Linked DNA regions of Arabidopsis thaliana. The protein of the gene in region 1 interacts with the protein of each later gene in a biochemical or structural test. Each region holds a gene or a part of one and is shown on either strand. Other genes may lie near its edges.

Region 1 (6,270 bases):
GACAAGGAAGACGGTGGCTATGGCATATGGAAAGAGATGTGGAGATACCAATATTCCTGTGTTACAAAGATTGGTACTTGCGTGTCTATTCTAAAAACCCTTGACAGAAGCCTGTAGCACACTTTAATCAGTTGACTTTCTACTATTCTCGTCTCTGTAGGTTCAGTCACGCCATAGATTAGCATGCGTATGTGGTTATGCACACTTCGCAGATTATGCTCTTGATCGTAGGATGTCAAAGACATCAATGAGGGTTTGTGAAAGAACCTTTAAGTGATTAATCTAACATTCTTCATGACTCCTTTGTACTGACGCCCTTCTTATGCCAGGTGATCAGGTTCCTGGAGGACATTTCTTCCAGTTTAACTGACTTGGCTATTAGAGAGTTTTCCATTTTGGAAGACTTGAAGGTAATCGAATGTTGGTATTATATAATTACAGGTTATGCCTTTCTCACTACTTAACTTGCTGAGTTTTAATATCAGAGGAAAGAAGAAGGGGAGATTCCATTTGGCGTAGAAGATCTTTTATACTACATAAAGAGGGTAGAGGAGTTGCAGTTTGATCTTGATTTTGGAGATATCCGGCAATATTTTCCTGTCAACTTGGTCCTTTCCGGGATCTTTAAAATATGTCAGGACCTTTTTGGTGAGTTTACGTCTGTACTCTAAAATCTTTTGGGGGTATTAATAAATTTTTGCTTTGCTTCTGTGGCTTGAGAATATTTACTATCCATTTATTTGATCCTCGTCATAGCTTGCTGGCCAACTTAATGATTTCGCCATGCAGGAATAAAATTTGAGGAGGTTACAGAAGTTGATGTCTGGTATCATGATATTCGAGCTTTTGCCGTCTTTGACTCAGGATCTGGAAAGCTTTTGGGATATTTCTATCTTGACATGTTTACAAGGTCCATTAGCAACCTTACTTCATTCTCCTCTTTACTTTTAGAGCCTCCATTTCATTTTGAGTTGTGATAATAATTTTGTTTGACAGGGAAGGAAAATGTAATCACAGCTGTGTGGTGGCTCTTCAGAATAACGCACTGTTCTCCAATGGTGCATGTCAGGTGACAATCCTACATCCATGTCGGACCTTTATGTGGAAGTATCATGCAACTCAAATATAAATCGATATTGTGATCTCATGTGGATGTATTTTAAGGTTTTAGTATTCGTATTTTGGCATTTATTTTGTTTCTGTCTCCAGATTCCTGTGGCGTTGCTTATTGCACAGTTTGCAAAGGATGGTAGTGGTGAAGCTGTGCCATTGGGATTTTCTGACGTGGTTAATCTTTTTCATGAGTTTGGCCATGTGGTACGTGAATGAAATTGGTTACGTGGAACAGCAGAATAAATTCTGTTGGTATCTTTTGTATGTATCAGGGGATGTTATTAGCTGATATTCCTTGCTACTATTGGTAAATAGGTCCAACATATCTGCAATCGTGCTTCATTTGCTAGATTCTCGGGCCTACGTGTTGACCCCGACTTTCGGGAGATTCCTTCTCAGTTATTGGAAAACTGGCAAGTAAACTGATAATTTTTTCTTAAAATCTTTCTGTATTAACACTAAATCCTAATAGACGGAATATAATTCTTGTATCTCTAGGTGTTACGAAAGTTTCACGTTGAAGTTAATATCAGGTTATCGTCAGGTGAGCGCTTCTCACGACTAAATTGTTGACAATTGTTCTTGTCGTAGACTAGTCATAATAATTTGTTTTAACCTGGGATTTATTCCTGCAGGATATCACCAAGCCACTTGTGGATGAAGTCTGCAAAACACTCAAACGTTGGCGATATTCTTTCTCTGCACTAAAGTCGCTTCAGGAGATATTATACTGTGAGATATTAATTGACTTTTAATGATGCTTATATACCTTTTCATTTTGACTTCATTGTAGTTTTTAAACTGAAATATCAATTCCTCACAATCGTTAGGACAAATGGTTTGTTAGTAAGACGAGTAGATTGTGGTTCTTATTATGCTTTAGAGGAAGCAGTAGTTAACTAAGAAGTCTACTAGCGGGTAAAATGTGGTATTGCCTAATGATGCTTGAAATATGGATGATCAGGTCTATTTGATCAAATAATATATTCGGACGATGATGCTGACTTACTCCAGCTAATCAGGAGTCTTCATCCAAAGGTAAAAGCATAAACTCTCAAAGCAATCTGGTCTGTTTACGGCAAAGAAATTTTCTCATACTAGTGTCTTTCTATATATAGGTAATGATAGGGCTACCAGTGGTGGAAGGAACCAACCCTGCTTCATGTTTCCCACGTGCTGTAATTGGCTCTGAAGCAACATGTTACAGTCGTTTATGGAGTGAGGTATGATTGATTTGCACTGTGGTGATCCGTACCTTCCATGACTTTAGTCTGAGAATCCACCTATTTCCACAGGTGTATGCTGCTGATATATTTGCTTCAAAATTTGGAGATGGGCATCCGAATCTATATGCCGGCTTGCAGTTCAGAGACAAAGTGAGAAGCGTATTTGTTTGTCTTTCCTTTGATTTAGTAGTGTGTGAGTGTAAAAGGACTAAACAAGTAACAACTACTTTCTTATTAGGTGTTGGCCCCAGGAGGAGGCAAAGAACCAATGGAACTTCTCACCAATTTTCTTGGAAGGGAACCATCAACACAAGCTTTCATCGCTAGCCGGACAAACTATAGTTTGTAGTATTTTGCACCTAACATTAGGTTCCAGTGAATCTGGTAGCTGGTGAAAATAAACATTTCTTTGGTTGTTAGAGACATCGTTTATTGATGTTTGTTAATGTGTTGAGAGGACCTAGCGGTTTAGGTGGAAACTGTAATCATTCATTCTTAGTTTCTTACCTTTCTCTGCATCGCAATCTCAAATTACGAAGAGTTATATAACATAGTGATCATCATTGAGCATGTACGGTGTTGAAGATAAGGACTTGTCTCGATCAATTTACAAGACAGATTCTAATATTATGGTTTTCTTCTCTTATTAAGACAAGAATAGTATTGTCTTTTTGGTTTACTTTGGAAATAGGATTGTAACAGGCCTTAAAGGTAAGTAGTTTCAGACATACGTAAAAGAAAAGAGTTTCAGATTACCTTATGAAGTACGGTTCTGGTTCGGTTTAAACTGGTTTGAACACGTGGCAGGTACAAGTAGATAAGGTACGAATCCACGAAATCATCATCTTCCCCAAACCAAATAATCTCTCGTTTCTAAACAAACTAGTGGTGAGTGAATCTTCTCTGGTGAGTAATGGAAGTGAGTATGTCTTTGAATGCGTTAACTCGGCTTCCTCTGAAGAACACAGGAAGATTCGAAGAGGTTGGTTTAGCGAGACACTCTCTGTTTAGCTCAAGAACGGCATGCCGAGAGACGGCGGTACAGCAGCGGCGGATGGTTTTTGTGGTGGAGGCTAAGGGAAAGAAAGGTATGGCGGCGCGTCAGTATCAACGTACACCTCCTCCTATGCCTAAGATTGAAGACGATGGAAACCCAAGATTCGTTATCTTCATTCGTATGGCCAATGTTCGTCTCTTTTCCACTCTTTCTTCACTTAGCTTGGATTAGGAGATAATTAAACGCTTAAACATGTTAGCTTTGCTTTGGTTCTGTTTCCAAAGTTATATACTTTTTTCAATTTGATACTCCTAGACCAATTATTAGATTGCAAATCATCTGGTTTCATCAAATTTGGATTTTTCAACATTTCAGCTCTTTGTTCTAGTACGTGTTTGTTTATAACATGAATTAAAATTGTTAGCTTGATTGGTTTTGTTTGCAAAGTTATGTACTTTCTTTCATTCGATCCTTTTAGATCAATTATCAGATTGCAATTGTGTTCTGGTTTCATCAATGCGAGTGTTCTTTTCAGCATTTTACTTTTTGTTGTAAAAAGTGTTTCTTGTGACGTGAACAGGTGTATCTTTGGTATCCTCTGAGTATAATAGCTGGTGGTACTACTGCTAAGATCATGGTTGCTGCAAAAGATAACCTCTTGGGGAAGTATATCTACAAAGACACCATTGCAAGAAACATTGCCGCTGTTATTTACAGAGTAAATTACACAAGCTTCTGCTTATTCTTGTGTGGTTGATTCCACTATTAATATGTGTCTCTTTAGATGTTATTTCTAATTGTTTTTATCTTCAACAGGATGAGAAAGAGATTCAAAAGACAGCAATTAAGCAGCATCGTGTCTTGCGTACAGCCACCGAGTTTCGATATGGCTACAAACTTGTAGTAATGCTCTCAAAACCCTTTTTCTTCAGTTATTGGAAGCTCTGCTTCATTTTGTAGTTGATGAGACCGTAGGAAAAGTTTTCTGGTTTCGTTTTCACTTATTATGGCTGTATTATACATTCAGGAAAACGGAAACATGAGAGCTGCACTTAGTACTTCAGATGTTATTGAGGTGAGCTATACTTAACTACATGAGATCAGCTCTCAAACTTCCTACAGTGACACCAAAAGGATGCTGTTATAGATGTTTTGTCTGAAACGTTTGTGTTTTGTCCTGAACCATCGCAGCTCCCAACCCAGGACCAGCTTAAAACAGTGTTCGACAAAGTTAAAGACTACTTTGGGGATGCAAAAGAGTCATTCGGAAAGCTATCATCGCTGAACCCGGGGAGTGACGAAAAAACTGAAGAAACCTCGGATGAGAAAGCCAAGTAAGTATAAACAGGTACTGAATGTTTCTTCTTTTCATTTTCACTAGAATTTTGGTGTTTTTCACCAAAATGATATACAACCGTTTTACAGGGCCTGAGGCTGAACAATTGACACTTGGTTGGTTGATTTTGATGTCTCAACCGTCTCGGTATGGGCTGCAGAAGGTCACTGGATATGACGAGACTACCGCTATTTTGTGCACATTTTCTCTATACATCTCTCACAGAAACAGCTTCTGTTAAATCTCTTGTAACATATAACTTATTGTGTATTGTAGATTTGTTGAAAGAAAGAGCCATTGGTTACAACTTGCAATTTCAACTTTTCTTAGACATTGGTCAAACAATAGTAGTCGAAAATAGGAAAACTTCCCACTATATCTTTCGAAGAAACCCTTAACTAGAACTGTGAACAAGATATGCAAAAGCTTCGTGAAGGTGAGAGCAAGACCATTTGCAGAGATTTAGTAGAATCTCCCTGATTGCTCCAGTAGGTAAAAAATCTAGTTCTGCGCAGTATTGGCGACATCTGACTGTCCGAACATTGCAATATGGTGTGTGTAGCTTCATAAATTGTTTGTTATGAATAAATTAGAGCTTTGTCAGGTAACTAATCCATTGCCTGCATAGAAAGATGTTAGATAGTTCAAAACTCTGAAGTTTCCCATCTTGGATCTGGTGGCAAGTGGCAACTGTTAGATATCTTCGATGTAAAACGTTTCCCGTAACACTCATTTGTATATCTGCTCTAAGATTGTGAACTCTCACATTATTTGATGATAAGGTTATGGGACAGATTCTCAACAGATAAAAGAACATCACATGTGGCAACTGTTAGATATCTTCGATGTAAAACGTTTCCCGTAACACTCATTTGTATATCTGCTCTAAGATTGTGAACTCTCACATTATTTGATGATAAGGTTATGGGACAGATTCTCAACAGATAAAAGAACATCACATGTGTTGGAGTAAGGAGGTAAAATTCCTAAGTTTTGCAATTAGATTCAATGTGTAGTAGAGATCTTTTTTTCATGATATGACATGCAAACTAATTTCCTTCCAGGTGACAGTGAAGATCTTAAGCGACGGTGTGAAACATGTGGCCTTATCACTGTCATCAACCTGTTTGGTGTAATTAGCCTACGACACTCGTGGATTATTGTACAATGCATCCGATCATGGAAGGTTCTTGGGAAAGCAAGATTATTTTCAGGTATACCCACAAAATCTTTCTGCATTACACCAACCAATATACGAAAAGAAGTTATTGGAACAAGGTTAAGATATGAATAAACCTTGGTCTACCATGAAGGAATACTCGTCAGGGTCAGGCAGCCGCTCATTTCCATACCAATTAAGGTGGGCTGGGAGCTCAGATAGGAGTGATGGGCTACTACTGTAATCTTGAAACTGGAGTCCGGTGTTTGCAAGAAAACGCTCGCCTTGAAGCCAAGTCAAGTCTAAGTCAGTGTCTAAAGAAACAGAATGATGTGATTCTGGAAGTTCCCAGTTCAAGCTTCTCAGAATCGCCTCTGTGTTGAACTCCTGCAGCTTCATGGCAGAGGGATCCAAATCTTGAAGGGTTACAGTAGGGATC
Region 2 (6,082 bases), about 23 Mb from region 1:
ACGTGTCAACGCTCCAATCTTCTTGGGTATCAAAAGCAAATGCAAAACAGAGGGCAGGCCGAGCAGGCCGTTGCCAAGCTGGCATCTGTTATCATCTATATTCTAAACTCCGGGCAGCGTCTTTGCCCGAATATAGAGTTCCTGAAGTTATGAGAATGCCAGTGGATGAACTCTGCTTGCAGGTGCTGTTCTTTCTAACGTAGATTTTTTCTATGATGTTTAATTGTCATTCATGCATGGTAGCGTCCTGTTTGAGACTTCTTGCGTTCTTGATTTCTTACTGATGTCCTTCTATAATATCAATATGTTCAGGTTAAGATGCTGGATCCGAATTGCAACGTAAATGATTTCCTTCAGAAATTGATGGACCCGCCTGTTGCTCAAAGTATTGAAAATGCATTAATCATCCTTAAAGATATTGGAGCTTTGACTCCTGAAGAAGAGCTGACTGAACTTGGACAGAAATTTGGTCAGCTTCCAGTTCATCCTCGGATTAGCAAGATGATTTATTTCGCCATATTAGTGAACTGTTTGGATCCAGCACTTATTCTGGCATGTGCAGCTGACGAGAAGGATCCGTTTACCATGCCCTTGTCGCCAGGTGATAGAAAAAAGGCTGCTGCCGCAAAACATGAACTTGCATCGCTTTATGGAGACCACAGTGATCATCTTGCCACTGTCGCGGCTTTTCAGTGCTGGAAAAATGCAAAAGCAAGTGGTCAAGCTAAGGAGTTTTGTTCTAAGTACTTCATCTCCCAAGTTGTCATGAAGAGGCTGGATGATCTGTGTCGCAAGCTTCAGGGAGAACTTAATAGACATGGGGTCATACCTAGCAGCAGCTCAAACTGTAGCCTGAATGCTCATGATCCGGGTATTCTCCGTGCTGTTATAGCAGTTGGATTGTACCCTATGTTGGGAAGGATGTGCCCACTTTCCAAGAATCGGACAAGGTCTGTAATAGAGACTATTGCTGGAGCCAAAGTCCGTGTGCCCTCGCTATCAAACAATGTTGACATGTCCTCTACCAAGTTTGACGAAGCTTTAATTGTTTTTGATGAGATCACTCGAGGAGATTGGGGTGTGGTGATAAGGAGCTGCACTGTTCTTCCCACTATACCTGTGTTACTGTTTTCAAGAGAGATAGCCGTTTCTACTACAGAGAGCTATGATGCTGTTAAGAGTGATGACGAGGAAGACCACAAAGTAGGAAATGTAGGAGACGCGATGGACATAGATAAAGAAGTTGGTAGGCCTGGAGAGAAAATAATGCTTGGGCCGGAAAATTCAGTAAAAGTAGTAGTGGATCGGTGGCTGCCTTTCAAGGTTACAGCTTTTGAAATTGCTCAAATGTACATCTTGAGAGAGAGACTAATGGCGTCCATTTTGTTCAAGGTACATGAGTTATCACTACGATTTAAGATTTTCATTATTTTATTTTGGCAATGTCATCCTTTTCAACCTTCCATATGCATTTGTAGGTTAAACATCCAAAGGAAAATTTGCCGCCTCATCTCGGTGCTTCTATGTATGCAATAGCTTCTGTTCTCTCATATGATAGCCTCGCACAATCTTCAGTTCAAACTGTAGCTGTGCAACCTATTACTTCAGTGGTAGATGCAACGAGTCCCAGAGATGACATACCTTCCACTAACCCCAATGAGCTTCGGGAGCATGACCCGAACACTACTCCAATGGGGTCAAAGCTCGAATTAGCCAACAAGTTGGGTTTGGGTAATATGGAAGAGAGCTTGCCTTCAAATTTCGCTGATGGGAATGAGCAACCTGACCCAAACACTTCTCCAGTGGAAGATGTTTCGGCGGCTACAAAACAAAAGAAGATGCAGTCAGAGTCCAAAAGGTGCAAGTCGCTCAACAACGTGGATTTGGGGAACATTGAAGAGAATTTCGGGAACATGGAAGAGAACCCACCTTCTGATCTGGCTATTGGGAATGAGCAAACATTGCCGAAGTTAGCTAGCAACTTGGACATGGGGAACATGGAAGAGAACACGCCTTCTGATCTGGCCAATGGGAATGAGAAAACAGAGCCTAACTCAGCCAACAGCATGGATTTAGGGAACATGGAAGAGAACACGCCTTCTGATTTGGCAAATGGGAATAAGAAAAAAGAGCCTAAGTCAGTCAGCAAGTTGGATCTGGGTAGCGAGAAAGTGAGCATTCCTTCTAATCTCGTCAATGGAAATGAGCAACATGACCTAAACATTGCTCCAGGTGAAGATGCTTCAGCGGCTAAGCAACCAGAAAAGAAGCGATCCAGGTCTAAAAAGCGCAAATCAGGCAACAACCTGGATTTGGGGAAGATGGAAAAGAGCAAGCCTTCCGATCTGGCAAATGAGAATGAGCAAACAGAGCCCAAGTCAGCCAACAACTTGGATTTAGGGAATATGAAAGAGAACACGCCTTCGGATCTGGCTAATGAGAATGAGCAAACAGAGCTTAGGCTACCTAACAACTCGGATTATGGTAACATGGAAGAGAGCTTGCCTTTGAATCTTGCTAATGGGGATGAACAACCTGACCCAACCACTGCTCCAATGGAAGCTGCTAAGCAACCAAAAAAGAAGCGATCAAGGTCCAAAAAGTGCAAATCAGTCAACAACCTGGACTTGGGGAACATGGAAGAAAACAAGCCTTCTGATCTGGCAAACGGAAATGAGCAAAAAGATCCTGAGTCAGTCAACAGGTTGGATCCGGGTAAGGAGAAAGAGAGCATTCCTTCGAATCTTGTCAGTGGGAATGAGCAACCTGACTCAAACACTGCTCCAGCTAAGAAACCAAAAAAGAAAAAGCGCAAATTAGCTAACAACTTTGATTCGGTTAACAATATGGAAGAGAAAATGCCTTCCACTAATGTATTGAGCCAGGGAAACAAGTCAGGTTTGATTGAGGAAAAACCGAGCATACCTTCCGATCAATGAGCAGTGTGGCTCAAATACTGCACCAACCTAAGCAAAACCGAAAGAAGAAGGGAAGTATGATGCCCATTCCACTTTGGTGTTTTAATGAGCATTTCGGTGTTTGTCATGAAACCAAGTTTTGAAATGGCACTTGTCTACATAAGTGTAACAGATTCTTAATTTCAACAATTTTGTTAGATAATTTGTATTCATTCTCACTTAGTGCTTCCGTTGTTCTATCGTTATAAACGTTTTAAGATATACGCATGTAACTGAAAGAAGAAAAGCCATTATTGATCCAGTACTGTAGTGTCTTAGTGTGAGCAGAAAAAAGATTTGATCATGGAATGGCTTTAGAGTAAAATACTAAAATAGATGGAATCGAAGGCTTATGAATCTGACGTGGAACAAGAAGAAAGCGTATCTGCCACGTGGCACAATACAACACCTCAACAGCCTTATCTGGACATCAACAGAGAGATCCTCCAATATCCGAAACCAACCAATCAGCTTCACTCTTGGTTTCACCTCCATACATTAACACACCAACAATCCTCAAAAAACACTTTCATAACTTAATCACACACAAGGAGAGAAGAGAGAAAGAGAGAAAGAGAGACAGAGATAATGGCGTACAGTGCGTGTTTCCTACACCAGAGCGCATTGGCTTCATCAGCCGCACGATCATCATCTTCCTCCTCATCCCAGCGTCACGTGTCGCTCTCCAAACCTGTTCAGATCATCTGTAAAGCTCAACAGTCTCATGAAGACGATAACTCCGCCGTCTCCCGCCGTCTTGCTCTCACTCTCCTCGTCGGCGCCGCTGCTGTTGGTTCCAAAGTATCTCCTGCTGATGCCGCCTACGGTGAAGCTGGTGCGTTTATAAAATAAAATAACCTTGGATCATTTCATTTTCTTGAAGAAGAATCTTGAAGAACATATTGTGTTTTTTTCATCCTATTTTTATTTTTTGGTTTGTTGCAGCAAACGTGTTTGGGAAGCCAAAGACGAACACAGACTTCTTGCCATACAATGGAGATGGGTTCAAAGTGCAGGTTCCAGCAAAATGGAACCCAAGCAAAGAGATTGAGTATCCAGGACAAGTCCTTAGGTTCGAAGACAACTTCGATGCTACTAGCAATCTCAATGTCATGGTCACTCCTACCGACAAGAAGTCCATCACTGATTACGGTTCTCCCGAAGAGTTCCTCTCTCAGGTCTTTGCTTTACTCCATCATCTGTAAAGGTATTGATGTTACAAAATCTAATGAAGTGTGAGACTGAGTGGTGATTTGGGCTTTATGCAGGTTAATTACCTCCTAGGGAAACAAGCTTACTTCGGTGAGACTGCCTCTGAGGTAAACTTCCCATTGTTATTTGTTATAAGTAAACCAGAAGCTGATAGAATAGAATAAGAGAATCAAACACTAAAGAGAGAACACATTGTCTCCCTCGTTGTTAACTGATAAAACAAAACTCAAAAGCTTTTTTAACTGATAACCTTCAAAGACCTCTCTAGTAGTCGATGATTATTACAAGAAAGATTCTTACCTTAGGTGGAGTGAGTTATCAAGTTCTAACTCTGTGTGTGTGTGAATCTGATGTTCTTACAGGGAGGCTTTGACAACAATGCAGTGGCAACAGCAAACATTCTGGAGTCATCATCTCAGGAAGTTGGTGGGAAACCCTACTATTACTTGTCTGTGTTGACAAGAACGGCTGATGGAGACGAAGGTGGGAAGCATCAGCTGATCACAGCAACCGTGAATGGAGGGAAGCTTTACATCTGCAAAGCACAAGCTGGAGACAAGAGGTGGTTCAAGGGAGCCAGGAAATTTGTCGAGAGCGCAGCCACTTCTTTCAGTGTTGCTTGAGTGAAAGCAACACAACGTAACAATGCTCTGCTTGCTTTCTTCATTTGTCTCTTGTAAAAAATGGAAAATGAAACTGAGCTTTTGAGAACTATCAAGATGATGTTACCTTTTCGGCATCACTTGTGTACCTATGATAACAGACTCGTTTTCCAAGTTTTCTTAAAAAACAACTATATTCAATAGATATTTTCTCAAATTAATAAGATATTGACTCAGAAAGAAGCTATAGACTAAATCTAAATCCTTGAAAGCACAAAGATAGTGAGAAGAAAGCCTGCTTGAAGCTGATATGAAAAGAGGTAAGCATCAAATGGTTCTTCTAGTCAACAGAAAGGTTAAAACGCAGATGAATTTTGACGTCTGACTCTAACTAGATCTATTGAAGCATATGCCAAAGGCCCTCCTCTTTCTTTTTGGCTACTGTAAAGTTCTCAAAGAGGCAAAAAGATTTTATTTGCATATGTATTACAACACTTTACCATCATCTATATACTACTTTTAGTTCATATTGTAACTTTTGAGCTTTACAAATGCTACAAACAGAGTGTTAAGAGTTCAGAGATACTCAACAGGGAAACCAACGACGGGTTTTATCTCAGAGGCCAGGGACCGTAGCTCACTCACTTCATTGTCTGTCAGACTCCAACCTATCGCTCCAGCAAACTCTTTGGCTTGTTCTGCGTTCTTGGCTCCTGGGATGGGTATCACGTTCCCTTGTGCCACCAACCAGTTCAATGCTATCTGCACAGCACAACACAACAAAACAAGAAGGCATATGATTTGATGCAAAATCGAGGGTGTACACTTGGATAGCTTAATATGGATCACACAATTACTCTTTTGTATTTTTCTTAACGTTTTTGGACAGGGAAAAAGAAAAACAGAGTGCATAAGGAAAAGGGAAAGAACCTGTGTGGGAGTTTTGCTGTAGTTTTCCCCAATTTGTTTGATTCTATTCAACAGGGGTTGAAGCTGTAACGTCACAAGTCAAAGTTAGTGAAGAAACCTGGCACTATTATGCTACCTTTTGATAATTTCTGTATAGGTACATTGATTGGTGTTGTGTTTTGTATAAAAGTGTATACTTTGTCTCAAAACAGAACTTACTAAGAAAAAAGCAGGATTAGAGGAGAAAATCGACAGGTTTATAACAGTGAGATATACAAGTTATCAAAATCCAAAAATCTGTTTCTTAGAAGACTCGAGGGTTATTCAGATGTAACTATGGTTTTGCAGACATACACGCCTGTGTTAAATAACTTAGATATATGCAGCGAAAGCTATTACCTT

What was found.
Region 2: the proteins of AT1G67700 (region 1) and PSBP-1 form a complex in vitro, tested with the Arabidopsis thaliana proteins (one study listed by BioGRID).

Annotation. Positions count from the first base shown.
Region 1 is NC_003070.9:25,371,043-25,377,312, forward strand, and holds AT1G67700 (multidrug resistance protein), read left to right. Parts: upstream 1-3,029; 5' UTR 3,030-3,050; intron 3,051-3,095; exon of another isoform or gene 3,096-3,146; 5' UTR 3,147-3,252; coding exon 3,253-3,525; intron 3,526-3,916; coding exon 3,917-4,054; intron 4,055-4,152; coding exon 4,153-4,239; intron 4,240-4,363; coding exon 4,364-4,411; intron 4,412-4,527; coding exon 4,528-4,670; coding exon of another isoform or gene 4,671-4,674; exon of another isoform or gene 4,675-4,684; intron 4,685-4,761; coding exon 4,762-4,768; 3' UTR 4,769-5,008; downstream 5,009-6,270. Other genes in the region: AT1G67690 (Zincin-like metalloproteases family protein), read left to right, coding at 1-73, 161-253, 330-410, 486-648, 790-910, 997-1,069, 1,210-1,317, 1,429-1,526 and 6 more; ARR11 (response regulator 11), read right to left, coding at 5,952-6,270. UniProt on the Arabidopsis thaliana protein: Involved in photoprotection. Forms a complex with LQY1 that is involved in the repair and reassembly cycle of the PSII-LHCII supercomplex under high-light conditions. May function in guiding the release of psbC from PSII core monomers.
Region 2 is NC_003070.9:2,044,395-2,050,476, forward strand, and holds PSBP-1 (photosystem II subunit P-1), read left to right. Parts: upstream 1-3,239; 5' UTR 3,240-3,545; coding exon 3,546-3,792; coding exon of another isoform or gene 3,793-3,796; intron 3,797-3,902; coding exon 3,903-4,135; intron 4,136-4,225; coding exon 4,226-4,276; intron 4,277-4,531; coding exon 4,532-4,792; 3' UTR 4,793-5,045; downstream 5,046-6,082. Other genes in the region: NIH (nuclear DEIH-boxhelicase), read left to right, coding at 1-182, 313-1,392, 1,479-2,939; AT1G06690 (NAD(P)-linked oxidoreductase superfamily protein), read right to left, coding at 5,348-5,533, 5,702-5,764, 6,080-6,082. UniProt on the Arabidopsis thaliana protein: May be involved in the regulation of photosystem II.